Linked DNA regions of Oryzias latipes. The protein of the gene in region 1 binds, or shares a complex with, the protein of each later gene. Links are inferred from orthologs where the notes say so. Each region holds a gene or a part of one and is shown in the gene's direction. Other genes may lie near its edges.

What was found.
Region 2: thoc1 (region 1) and sarnp share a complex: the UniProt entries of both Homo sapiens proteins name them as parts of the transcription/export (TREX) complex. The link is inferred for Oryzias latipes from reciprocal best matches to the Homo sapiens genes THOC1 and SARNP.
Region 3: the proteins of thoc1 (region 1) and thoc2 are in contact, whole or in part, in a cryo-EM structure (PDB 7ZNL), measured with the Homo sapiens proteins. The link is inferred for Oryzias latipes from reciprocal best matches to the Homo sapiens genes THOC1 and THOC2. Residues at the interface, in NP_005122.2 of Homo sapiens: Asn134, Arg138, Asn141, Leu144, Arg145, Lys149, Thr153, Cys156, Gly157, Gln160, Leu161, Ala164, Arg165, Phe167, Gln242, Phe245, Arg246, Tyr297, Ala299, Lys300, Phe301, Arg319, His320, Leu323, Gln324, Ile327, Tyr331, Arg373, Phe374, Lys376; in NP_001075019.1 of Homo sapiens: Leu155, Phe156, Tyr157, Lys158, Gln160, Asn163, Leu164, Leu165, Arg166, Asn169, Glu170, Ala173, Lys174, Ile176, Ala177, Gly180, Gln181, Asn195, Lys197, Ser198, Leu199, Ile200, Gly201, Cys202, Phe203, Asn204, Leu205, Pro207, Asn208, Arg209.

What each region holds. Positions count from the first base shown.
Region 1 is NC_019875.2:28,356,408-28,360,555, forward strand, and holds the start of thoc1 (THO complex subunit 1), read left to right. Parts: upstream 1-1,345; 5' UTR 1,346-1,381; coding exon 1,382-1,429; intron 1,430-1,636; coding exon 1,637-1,710; intron 1,711-1,783; coding exon 1,784-1,844; intron 1,845-1,920; coding exon 1,921-1,990; intron 1,991-2,260; coding exon 2,261-2,379; intron 2,380-2,459; coding exon 2,460-2,508; intron 2,509-2,586; coding exon 2,587-2,682; intron 2,683-2,787; coding exon 2,788-2,870; intron 2,871-2,947; coding exon 2,948-3,021; intron 3,022-3,124; coding exon 3,125-3,233; intron 3,234-3,293; coding exon 3,294-3,428; intron 3,429-3,642; coding exon 3,643-3,743; intron 3,744-3,833; coding exon 3,834-3,900; intron 3,901-4,036; coding exon 4,037-4,087; intron 4,088-4,148. UniProt on the Homo sapiens protein: Component of the THO subcomplex of the TREX complex which is thought to couple mRNA transcription, processing and nuclear export, and which specifically associates with spliced mRNA and not with unspliced pre-mRNA.
Region 2 is NC_019865.2:25,904,989-25,908,975, forward strand, and holds the start of sarnp (SAP domain-containing ribonucleoprotein), read left to right. Parts: upstream 1-1,178; 5' UTR 1,179-1,194; coding exon 1,195-1,305; intron 1,306-2,137; coding exon 2,138-2,237; intron 2,238-2,324; coding exon 2,325-2,368; intron 2,369-2,637; coding exon 2,638-2,708; intron 2,709-2,942; coding exon 2,943-2,994; intron 2,995-3,987. UniProt on the Homo sapiens protein: Binds both single-stranded and double-stranded DNA with higher affinity for the single-stranded form. Specifically binds to scaffold/matrix attachment region DNA. Also binds single-stranded RNA. Enhances RNA unwinding activity of DDX39A.
Region 3 is NC_019872.2:16,174,143-16,178,198, reverse strand, and holds the start of thoc2 (THO complex subunit 2), read left to right. Parts: upstream 1-1,247; 5' UTR 1,248-1,349; coding exon 1,350-1,414; intron 1,415-3,936; coding exon 3,937-3,992; intron 3,993-4,056. UniProt on the Homo sapiens protein: Component of the THO subcomplex of the TREX complex which is thought to couple mRNA transcription, processing and nuclear export, and which specifically associates with spliced mRNA and not with unspliced pre-mRNA.

The sequences.
Region 1 (4,148 bases):
TCCATACAAGCATGAAAAAATTAACCTGTTTGATCCTGCAAGACACAAATTATATTTGTATTTTACTGTTGCAATTCTTTTCTTTGGAAATGAAGTCTGCAGTCGACACAAATTATAGGTCTTGTCCTGTGAAACCCACTTTACAAAGTGCAAAGTTAAATGATTGCCATCACACTGTAATGGGCCAGTGCTTCTAATGTGCAATGTGACGTTGTTCAACAGTAGATTTCATCAAAGCATTCCAGCCCTGCAGCACTGTACTCTGTAATGTACGCCCACAACATGCAGAAATGTTCCCCAGTGCAGACAGACATACATAGACCACACTAATCGAACACCGTGACCTCTCCAAAACCAGTGCTATGTAAGTATGAATGACACTGAGCTTTTTCCTAGTGCACAGGTCTAACTAAATAAAAAAATTGTAACTGTACAATTCAGTTTAAAAATGGATTTAATGTTTCAGCAATGCAATTGAATTAAAATTTACTTTATTAAAATAACAATTGTTAAAGTTTTATTTCAGCTTAGAAGAGAAAGAATACACAAATGATTACAAATTTCTAAAATATTTGATTTATCCCACCATTATTCAGTGACACCGGTCACCAGCAGATGAAACGTAGCTTTGTTTCAAACTGGATGAAGGGTTCAGTAGTTGAAAGAACAGTGTGCAACACTGCCCCCGTGAGGTCAAATGTGGAAGTGAGGCAGCTTCCCCCAATCTCACTCTGAGGTCAAATTATGAGAATTATCGAACACACGCGGATCTTTGGCTCATTGTCGCAACTTTATAGCACGTGTTAAGACGGTATGATAAAGTTTTATTCAAAAACATGTTTCAAACAGCAGCACAATTTGGTGGTTTTAGGGCAAAAAAACACATCAGTGTAATTTCTAAATCCCTTGTTAGAAAACTAACAAAGATGTATTCCTCAAAAGATAGAAACAAATGCGAACTACATTTTTAACATTTATTCTGAACTTTATGTATTAAAAATACAATTTAAAATTGATCATTATCTGTAAGCAAAAAAAAAAGCTTTAAAAAGTTCACAATGACGTTTTTTTTCAAATATGATTTTTTTTTAAACACATGAATTAAAGAAAGTGAAAAATTACAAATGTGGAGATTGGCAAACCTGTACAAATGTGGTATTTACGTCGCCCTAAGTATTAATTTTAGGAAACCGTCTAAAGTTGTCATCAATTATGTATGTAAATATTTAATAAATGTTTTTTCCGTTTGCATTATATATTGTATTTATGTCTACATTTTATTTTGTAATTTTTGTAAAATAATTTTTAAAAAAATAACGGGAGGGAGCGGTCAGAAAGACCGGAAGTACTTCTAGGTGCACTTCCTGTTGCAGCAGTAAAGATGTCTCCGTCCTTGTTTAATTTTGTCGATGTTAAAGACAAATTTACGGTGAGAGTTTGCAGGATGAGTTTTAATCATTAGGCATGCAAACACATAAATATATATACGGTGGATGTGATCAGAACGGTGATAACTTAAGTAGTTTTTTTAAATTAATTTTCTGTTTTGTTTTTCTACATTAGCTGTTAGCATAATGCTAACGTATTGAAAAGAGAGACGTTTTCTTTCGTATTATTCTCACATTTTCGTCCTCAGGTTGCTGCCAGACACGCCCTAACGGGTAAAACCTGCAAACCTTTGGTCACATCGTTTAACCAGATCCCTGGGAAGTAAGTCTACATCACTTCGACTTGTTATCAATTGTAATTTTTACCTATAACGAATCATTGACGTGTGTTTCAGTGAAACGGAAAAGAAAACAACTCTTGATCAGGCTTTGAGGGGCGTTCTTGGAGATCAGATTGTAAGCTGTTTCTTTAAAATTATCCAATGTTCTGCATTTGTACGCAAAGCTTAAAGGCTGATCGTTTCTTCTGTAGGTTGAGCAGAAGGCCAGCTGTGATGACTACCTGTCTCTCATCTACTTGAGCATCGATGCGGTCACAGAAGGTGTGATGCTAATGCAGAAAGTTGAACCGTGTCTTTTATTTAAATACAAATGAACAGGCCCTTTTTTTTTTAGCTGTTATTATTTTGACTTTAATATCTTGTTCATGTTTATATAGCAGAAATAGTCCATTTTAGCCACTCTTGTTTCGGAACTGTTGTGTTTCCGGGACGTTTACGGTACTCTATTTCAAAAGAAGTTAGTCTTAAAATCAAAACAGTGTAAAGTCTCGTCTTCAACCTTTTTTCTTCGGTGTTTTCTTGTTTTTGCAGGAATCTGCTCCGCTACAACGCCCTTCGTCCTGCTGGGAGACGTACTAGACTGCCTTCCACTCGATCTGTGCGACAAAATATTCTCTTTTGTCGAAGAGAACGTCTCCACTTGGAAATCTGTAAATAACTTACCCCCCCAAATGTGAAATATTGGTCTATCTGTCATGTAATATTAAATAGTATTTTTCCTTTTTTCCAGAACTCCTTCTACAGTGCAGGAAAAAACTATTTATTGAGGATGTGTAACGGTAAAATCTCCTCCATGTCTAATGTTATTCATCATTTCAAATTTGAGCAGTGAGTGACGAACTTTTCGGACCCTTTAGATCTTTTGAGGAGACTCTCCAAATCTCAGAACACGGTATTCTGCGGGCGAATCCAGCTGTTTCTTGCGCGCCTCTTCCCTCTGTCAGAAAAGTCAGGTGAGGACCCCAGCAGGGGGTTTGTTGTTCAGTTGTTGGGTGTTGACATCAAAGATGACATCTTAGATTGGAATTTTTTGTTTGTTTGTTTTTTTTCCCATCTAGGTCTTAACCTGCAGAGCCAGTTTAATTTGGAAAATGTAACAGTCTTCAACAAAAATGAACTAGAAAGCACTCTTGGCCAAAAGGTGGATTTTCTATACCTGAGGATTGATTCCAACAGTTTGGGTTGACTGATGACGGTTTTTTTTTCATGTTTTTCCAGAGCACAAATGAAAAGGAAGAAGGCATGGAGGTGGAAGAAGGAGAAATGGGGGAGGAGGATGCTCCTGCTCAGAGGTTTGTAGTAAAATGTTACCGATCCTCGTACAAACTTCTGATTTGCTCTTGACACCAAATGCTCCTCGGATTGAAAAGCTGTTCATCAAAATGTCGATTTCAGCTCCATTCCCATTGATTACAACTTGTACCGAAAGTTTTGGACGCTGCAGGACTACTTCAGGAATCCTGTGCAGTGCTATGACAAGTTTCTGTGGATGACGTTCCTGAAGGTAAAGTTCCTGAACTTCAGACGTATGCATGTGGCGAACCATAGCTAACCTCCTGGTCAGTTCTCAGATGAGACTCTAGCTGTGTTCAAGAGCTACAAGCTGGACGACATGCAGGCCTCCAAGAGGAAGCTGGATGAGCTGAGAGGATCTGATGGAGAACATGTTTACTTTGCCAAATTCCTCACCAGTGAGAAGGTGGGAAACTTTGTCTTTTATCAGCATACGTTTCTGTTAGAAGTCATTTTTAAAAGTATTAGATGTTTGTGGGGTCATGGGTCTGTTACCAGAGGGGGGAAAGGGTGGGCTTGTCTATGTTTTTAAGCCGCATAATGCAGGAGAAGCACTTTTCATGAGTAAATTGTGATCTGGATCTGACTGCTGACTGTTGTTCCTCTCCTCCTTCTTTCAGCTGATGGACTTGCAGCTCAGCGACAGTAATTTCAGACGCCACATCCTGCTGCAGTACCTCATCCTCTTCCAGTACCTGAAGGGCCAGGTCAAATTCAAAAGGTTCAACCTGAGCACAAATGTAACTCGACGTTGAAAAATCTGCATCGTCATGTTGGGGAAATAGAATCCTTTTTCATCTTTATCCTGCAGCTCCAGCTGTGTCCTTAATGACGACCAGACCACCTGGATCGAAGAGACGACTAAACTGGTTTATCAGGTCAGTTGAGGAGGAAAAATGGGGAAATCTTTTTATATTTATGAACTTTATAATTTATAGTTTTGAATGTAAACTGTTGAGGTCTTGAAAAGTCAAAGAAAAGGGGATGATGGAAGCCTTTTCTTTGGTTTTGTAGCTGCTGAAAGAAATCCCTCCTGATGGAGACAAGTTTGCCAGCATGGTGGAAGTGAGTCCACATCATATCCAACCGGTCAAGGTTTTGGGTCTCTGTACATTATTCTAACTTA
Region 2 (3,987 bases), on another chromosome or scaffold:
AACCTCTTTTTGAACAATGTCAGCATTCACAGCAAATCCAGTTTGAACACGTTTCATCTGTTTTGTGTTCACCCTGACCCCGCCTCGTGTCTCAGTCCATCCACGCCTGAGACCCGCTGGTGTTGGGTTCTTTCAGCCGGTGGCGTGTGTCAGCTGACCCTCTTTAAGAGCCAAGGTCAATGCTGTCAGTTTTTGTTCAGTATTGTTGTACTGTGATTGAATTTTTTTTTCTCTCACCACGAGAACTGCAACATAAATATAAAAAGGAACAAAATCTGTTTTACCTCTGTTGTGTGTAGTACTAAAACAGAAAAACTGCTTAAACTAGAATTTTATTTTTATTTTTTTTTGGTTAAACTCTCATTAATTGTTCAAACATTTCATACAAGCACCTGCATTCCTCTGTAAACCTCTCAGACTTGTAGATGGTTTTGATTCCTCAGTCCAGCCTGAATTTATTTTTTACAAACATGGCCTGGTCAGGTGAGTTAATAGTTTTGAAACCAATGTGTTAAACAATGAAGGTGACATTTTAGGCCTATCTGACATTTTAGATCTGTGAAGATCCACACCTGATGATTCATGGAAAATTAGGAAAAATAGTCTTTATTTATTTGCCACATGGATGTAGCAAATAATTTTTTCATCAGACAGTAATATAATTGTGTTTTATAGATGTGGTTGAAAAAAATACATGTTTTAGAAAGTTCCAGCATGATGTCAACTGATTTAAATGTAGCTGTTACTCAAATACATGAATGTGGATCCACTGCATAAACTGCTTCCATTATTCCTCCAGGTAAAGAAAATAAAAGAAGAAAATTAACTTCTAAAAAACATCCACAATCTATATGGCAAAGATAAGATAAAATGAACTGAGAACAAAGAAAACAGTGAGGAATGTCTACGAAAAAAGTATAAATAAGGATAAAAAATGTTAGTAAACACTTTTTATCTGAGGCTAAATTGAATAAGTATTATAAAATCGCATTTTAATCATGATTTTATATAATAAAAAGTTTGTTAAGGTCTTAACACGTCTTTTACATTTATTTTTACAAAATTTTGCGGCGATTTATTAATTTTTATTTTGAACAAAATCTCTACAAGTTTGTTTAAAATGCAGCAGGACCATCTGCACGGCGTTAATATGCCCGACAGGAGGCGCTGTGATCAATGACGTCGTTGTGATCAATGACGTCGTTGTTCAGGAGCACAGAGGAAGAAAAGCTCGACTCTGATTGGACGGCAGGAATACATCAACAGAGAAAGATGGCTGAAGTGGTGGAGCTCCAAAAGCTGAAGGTTGGTAGAATTAAAAATACGTTTTTCCTGACATTGGGTGAATTTCTTTGTGGTGGAAATGATGAAGTCAGTATTTACACCGGAACCAGCTAGCGGGGTGGCGGCGGGCTGCAGAAAATCGTGTTCTCCGGGTCTTAAGTCTACGAACCGGCATGTGTTCTGAGCTAATCCGGGCTAAAAGAACGACGAAGGAAACGCGGAGGGAAATGAACGGATAATCTGAGAAACTATCTTTCAACCCACCAGTAATAAAGTTCGACGTAAAACAATGAAAACAATCAGTTACAGCAAAAATCGAGAGGTGGGTAAATGGACCGAACCACAACCGCTGTTTGGAAAGACAAAATAAAAATGAGAGATTTTTTTTACTTAACTTAACTCAATCCTGCATTTCTGCTTTTCAAAGCAAATGTGATGAACGACCATTTTGAAAATAAGTAATCGTAACATACATATATATATATATATATATATATATATATATATGTATATATATAAAAGGAAAAATAAAATTCTAACAATGCACAAATTATTGTTATCAATTTAAACTGATTTAGTTCAACAGATGATGAAATCAGTTTATGTAGGTGCTTTCAGATCGTGGTAAATTTATCTTTAATAAAAAAGAACCGTCCTTTCGTTTACAGAGTTTTATGGAATAGTAAGAAGGTTACTGATGTGGAGATGGAAAAATATATATATATTTTTTTATAGTTTCAATTACACCAATATTTCCAAGCAGGTGTTGGCTGATCTATGTTTTACTTTTTTTGAATCACGTCAGTAAATTTTAAAACCAATTGTTAATTTGAGGTTTCATCTTCCCTTTCAGCTTGCTGAGCTGAGGCAAGAGTGTGACGCCCGCGGTCTGGAAACCAAGGGAAACAAGGGCGAGCTGATCGCTCGGCTCCAAGCCTACCTGGAGGAGCACGGTGAGAACCGGGTGACCCGTTTTTGCACATCAACCAAATGTTGTTTCCTGCCAGCTCATATTGTCTGTGTTGTCATCCAAACCACAGAGGACGATGTGGATGTTGATGAAGTTCTGGCAGAGGACACACCGGTAATGTCTTTTATTCTATCCGTTCTCTTCTAGTTTAGCAATAAAACAGAAACGTTCAATCAATGTTTGTTGAGAAAATCAATATTGATTTGTCAAATACACAAATCTATTCATTTTATTGATTACATTTCTTCAGGCAGACACAGCTCACACACAGTTTTTAGTTGAATAAACTCCAAATTTTATCATGAAATATTGTTCAGGTTTGTTTCTTCTGCTTGTTTGTTTCACAAAAGCAGTATGTCTGTTTTTTTTTCTTTTCTTTTTAGGAATTCACTAAAGTTGAGAGCTCCAACAGCATAAAGGAGGACAACCACACTGAAACAATCGCAATTCCAGAGTAAGTTAACTGTACAACAAATGTGCTTTTTCCTCTTTACCTTTCAGATTCCTCTTTGCGTGTGAATAAAGTTATCGTTTATCATTAACTATTATTGTAAGATAGTAACTTTTCAGGGAATTACAGTCGATGTTGCTCAGATGAGAACATCAAAAAAGAGTTCAGCTGGATCTGCTGGACTGTCATGTTCTTAGTTTTTTTTTTAATTTTTGAGAAAATAAATTCTACCTTCAGGTCTGAAGACAAGAAAGTGGTGAAAATCTCTCCTCCGTTGTCTGCTGGTGAAGTAAGTATGAGTCGTTTTCATTCACAAATAAACCTTGGTTTAGATTTTAGATCACGTCTGAGCTCTGAAATCTAATTTTAGAAGAGAAAAGCTTCAGAAAAACACTAGTTGACCTCAGACTTCACCTTTGTGCTCGTGTTTGCTCCTTTGGTTTGGTGTTTTTAGATTAAGTTTTGCTGAAATCTCACTTTGGGTAGATGCTAAAGCCAAACTGTTTAATACAAAAACATCTATTTTTCTGAAAAATAAAGCAAATCTTTCCTAAAAAGTGGAAAAACGAATCTGTAACTTAAATTTAACCAAATAAGAGCACAACCTAGTTATTTAAACTTAAATATTTTGCTTTTTTAAAGGACTCCATCCATTCATATTATTCATCATACTTGATGAATAATATGCTCTTACTCTGATAAGGACTGGATTATGGTGACTTTGCAAAAAAATAAATAACAATAGTGGTAGGATAACATCAGTGGCGGACCGTGCATTACACACCTGGGCCTTCAGTAGTGCAACGTCTGAATCACTCAACGCCTCATTAACCATATTATGATGCAGAAACTAGCTTTGCATTGCAGATTGAAAATTCCTGCAGCCACAATCAGTGCCTCTAAATACAGAAAACAGTAAACAAATCTTGTTATGCAACTACAGCCAGCACAAAACATTACCGCTACCATAACCACATCAATTAGGAATTTATTTATGATATTTAGATGTTCACTCATCAGAAGATGAGATTATTTGATGACAAAATCCACCCTCCTCTCTTTCCTCAAACAGTTCCATCATCCTGTCATGTAGATTATTGCTCTTCAGTTCCGTCAAGAAGTCATTTTCTGCTCGATCAAGGCCAGTGCTGAGAGCCCAGTCTGTCCATTTGTGTTGCTGCGTAGGTTTGAATTCACTTTAGATCCGAAAATGTCCGCTGGTCAGACGCAGTGAACACGGGGATGGTTGGTGCCAAACGCACAAATCTGTATGGCTGTTCAT
Region 3 (4,056 bases), on another chromosome or scaffold:
TTTTTAATTTTGAAAAAAATTACTTTTTGGAGCTCGGCAGAGGATTTTTTTGCTTAAAAGTTTTTAGTTTCTGTCGCTGCATACATATTACATATAAAAATATCTATAAATATTTATTGTAGACCCCAAAGTCTCCCATGTCTTTAGACTACTATATAGTGAAAACTGCAAAAGATAGGACTTCAAACCTGTAAAATATTGTAATCCGTGCGTTTTTGTTTTTTCTTTTAATTTGGAGGTTTTACTCTTTGTGTAAGTATTGTTTAAAAAAATGTTTTCATTGAAGATTGATTTACTCATTTACAAGTATGAATGTATTGACTTTTTTCTTTTTGATATATGAGAATTACTTTTATTTGTGTGTTGAATTGGTTAGCAGAAATCAACATAATGGGATGGTATTCTCATTTCTGTTATCAATTAAAGGCTAATTTCATTAAAAAGATCATTAAACTGGAGAGAAGATGTAGTCTTAAAAATTAGCACAATCGAGACAAGGATACTTAGGCAAATAACAATGATCCATGTAGAAATGCATGTCAACATGTCATTTTGGATTTGTTTGGTTTGGTTTGCTTTGTTTAAACTGCTAAATCTGTGCTTATTTGCCGTTTGTCCACTTATTCCATTTATATTTTGTATGTATATTGTAACACATGCCAAATAAACCCTCTATAAAAGTGTTATCATTTTGGCATGAGAGTCCAGCTATTTTTAAATAAAGCATAGCCATTTTTTCCATTGTAAATCAGTTTGATTTTTCCAGATTCATTTAGAAATGTCTGTCATAGTGTTTGTAATATTGTTGGTCTATTATTTATTTATTTTTTAAAGGAAGTTACTTTATTTAGTCTGGTTTATGCCATATTTCAGACACAATTTAGCCCACTTTTGGCATTTCATCAGGTTTAGTTTCTATAGAAAAGTTACTTAGGCCAAATATGACCATTGAGTTGAGGTTAACTTTAATTGTGAATCATTTTAGGGATCGGATGAGGACCAGATGAAATATATCAATGAAAAATCGTGTAATAAATTCTAGGTAATCCTTTAGAGAAATTAATATATGTTGATCCCGACAGTTAGGCTAGTCTTGGGTGGGTCTGCTATTTTCTCACACTATCCTAATTACCGGTAATCTTAAAATGCATTTGCGTTGGATTCTTTTTCCAACACAAAATACGTTGAAAATGTTTAACTGCGTTCCCAAGTATAACGCCTGTCCTCCGATACCCGCACCAAACCCTCAGAATCCCGCCATGCAACACTAACAACGGCGGCTCATCCCCACATTTGACCCTGTGTGTGCCATGATTATGAACTAGACATCCGGGCGGTGTGTATGGAAGATGGCGACACTTATTATCTCTGGTGAATGGATCAAAAACTGGGAGAAGTCTGGAAAACACGAGTTGTGAGTACATGTTTTAATTAAATGCGGTCCTCGGCATTGCGCCGTTTCTTTGTGTTTACAAAACAAAATTGAAGTAGCTAGCATTTCAACAAGCGAAGGACAGTCCTTCAGCCGTGTTAGCCATAGCTGTGTTAGCAACAACGTTAAAATGCTTGTGCGGCTAACTTTAAACTCTTGTAAATACACATCTGCAACGCTTGACGCTAAGCTGTAAAAGGTTAAAGAAAACACTACAAGCTCAAGTCTGTTAGTTTACGTTTCCTGTGAGAAAACCATGATGATGTTCAAACTGTTTTTGCGAACATTACGGCTATCAAAGCTAAGCTAGTTGGAATACATTCAGCTAACACGTCTCATCGTGTTAGCCAGCCAAATAATCAGTGACGGGGGAAAGAGCTTTATAACTGCTCATCTTTATAACAGACGTATATAAATCAATTTTCAGCATTACGTTTGGGGACTTGCTTGTTAGATATACTTGATCAAGTGGAGGGAAACGAGGGATTTTACAACAACGTTGCATCAAGTTTAGCTAGCTCCAGTGTTGGTTGTGTTATCGTATATCGGCCACCTTTTTTTGGTTTCTTATATATTTTATTCAGAAATCCATGACATTGGGAAGGGAAAGTGTGTTATTATGTTTTCTCTTTAAATACACGTGACAATTGTAAATGTATATGTTGATTATTAATCCTGAATAGATGCAGTCTCTGAATTTAGATGCTGCGGCTAACTTTACAACTTTGATGTTAGCTAATCTGAAATTAAGCTAGGTTTTGCGCTAGTTAACACAGCGGGCTATTATTTTCTTGTTAAATAAAAGCTTAAAAGTTAGGATCCGTTTTAAGGAATAGTACCAGCAGATTACATGCTTATAAGAGTCATCCATTTTACATATCACCGTTACCGTGGCCATCGTGTTTACCACAGCAACAACAAAGGCCCCTACACGTTAAGAATTGGACAATAGATAGGGTAATAAATCAAATGAAATCTTTAGCAAAACGGGAATGATGTGTTTATTTAATTAGTCCGCGCACACGAGACACAGACTTGCACTCTAGGCTCACACCCATAGTGTTAGCTGTTCTTCAGTCTGCATAGGCCCACAGGCTGGAAAAAGCCTGCACTTTACACTTAGGCACTAGCTTCTCTGCTTGGAGCTGATAAAGGGTATTAGAAGAAAGTTTCTGGGTTGTCACAAGATGCCGTTTAAAGTTTCACTAAATGTCATTTAGTGTTTTCACCAAATTCAACTTGCTTTAAACTAACTAATGTCCACTCTGTAGCAAATTATCTGACATCTGGTTTAAGCAAGTAAGATATTTGTTTCAAAGTATGTTTACTTTTTTATATATTAAAATTAAAAGCTTGCACTTTTTTTGAATCTAGAAAATTTCAGCCCCCTTTTCTTCTTTTTAATGCTTTTGGGCTCTGGAAATGGTAAAATATAATCTGAAGTAAAAGTAAACAGAATACGGCACAGTTTTGTAGAAAGTCGTTTAAAACATGCAGAATCAGTGATTGTGGTTTCAATCTACTCAACACAATGCGGTTTACAATTGGATTCAAATTGCATCTGTGGCCCAGAGGTAGAACAGTGGACCTCTGATCAAAAGGTTGCAGGTTTGATTCCCCCCATGCCTGCCCATGTGTCAAAATGTCCTTGGATAATACACCTTACCCCATATTGTTCCTGGTGGTCTGTTTGGCGGTTGGCAAGACGTCTCCACCGTCAGTGTGTGTGAATCGGACTATAAAGCACATTGGGGCCTTTACCATGCAAAATATTTTTTTTTTGTGTATTTTAATGTTCATTCCTCACGGAAAGAAACCCCAAAGCTGTATTTGTGATCCGTTAACACATATGAGTATTCCTTTAAAAACCTGCACTCTGAGCACCAGCCCCTGCCCACCCATGAAAATGAGTGGGTTCTCACATTGTGACGTAGAAAAGTGAAGAATAGCCCCTTCCAGGAAGAATCTGCGCTCCCAGCCCCAGACTAACGCACATACACACTTCTCCGTGGAGCTAAGGGTGATTGGCAAATCTTCATTTTATATGCATAATATGCACATCCATCTTTGCAAAAGTTTGGATGTTGGTTAATTTTGTGAGCTAGACGCAGACGTGCTGCGAGGCCGTCTCTAGGTTGACATCATGAAACGCCCACATGTGCCTCAGAGATCGAGTAGTCTTACTTCCCAGTTGTTAACGACCTCAGGAAAATAACTAATATTTCATTAAAAAATTGTTCTTTTTTATGACAAAGGTAAAATATTATCACATACATGGACGTTGTTTGCTATAAAAGGCTTAAGAATAGGTGGTATAGGCCCTTTAATAAACTGTATTCGCCTTTTACTATTATGTATCAAAACTCATTTCAAAGCTGGTTTTCAACTACGTTTCTGTCTATTCATCCCATCACTCAGAGTGAAGTTCTTTCGCTTTTTCCAGGATTTCTTTTCCATGTTCTAGATTACTAAAGATTTGTTGTTGTTTTTTTTTTTCTTGATAGCATACAACTCTGCAAAGACCTTACAGAGAAAAGTGATCATGGAAGTGAAATTAGAGGTAAGTTCAGCCTGGCTTGTTTCTTGTCTGCATGTCTGAATTTGGCCATTTGTATGCTGTCTCA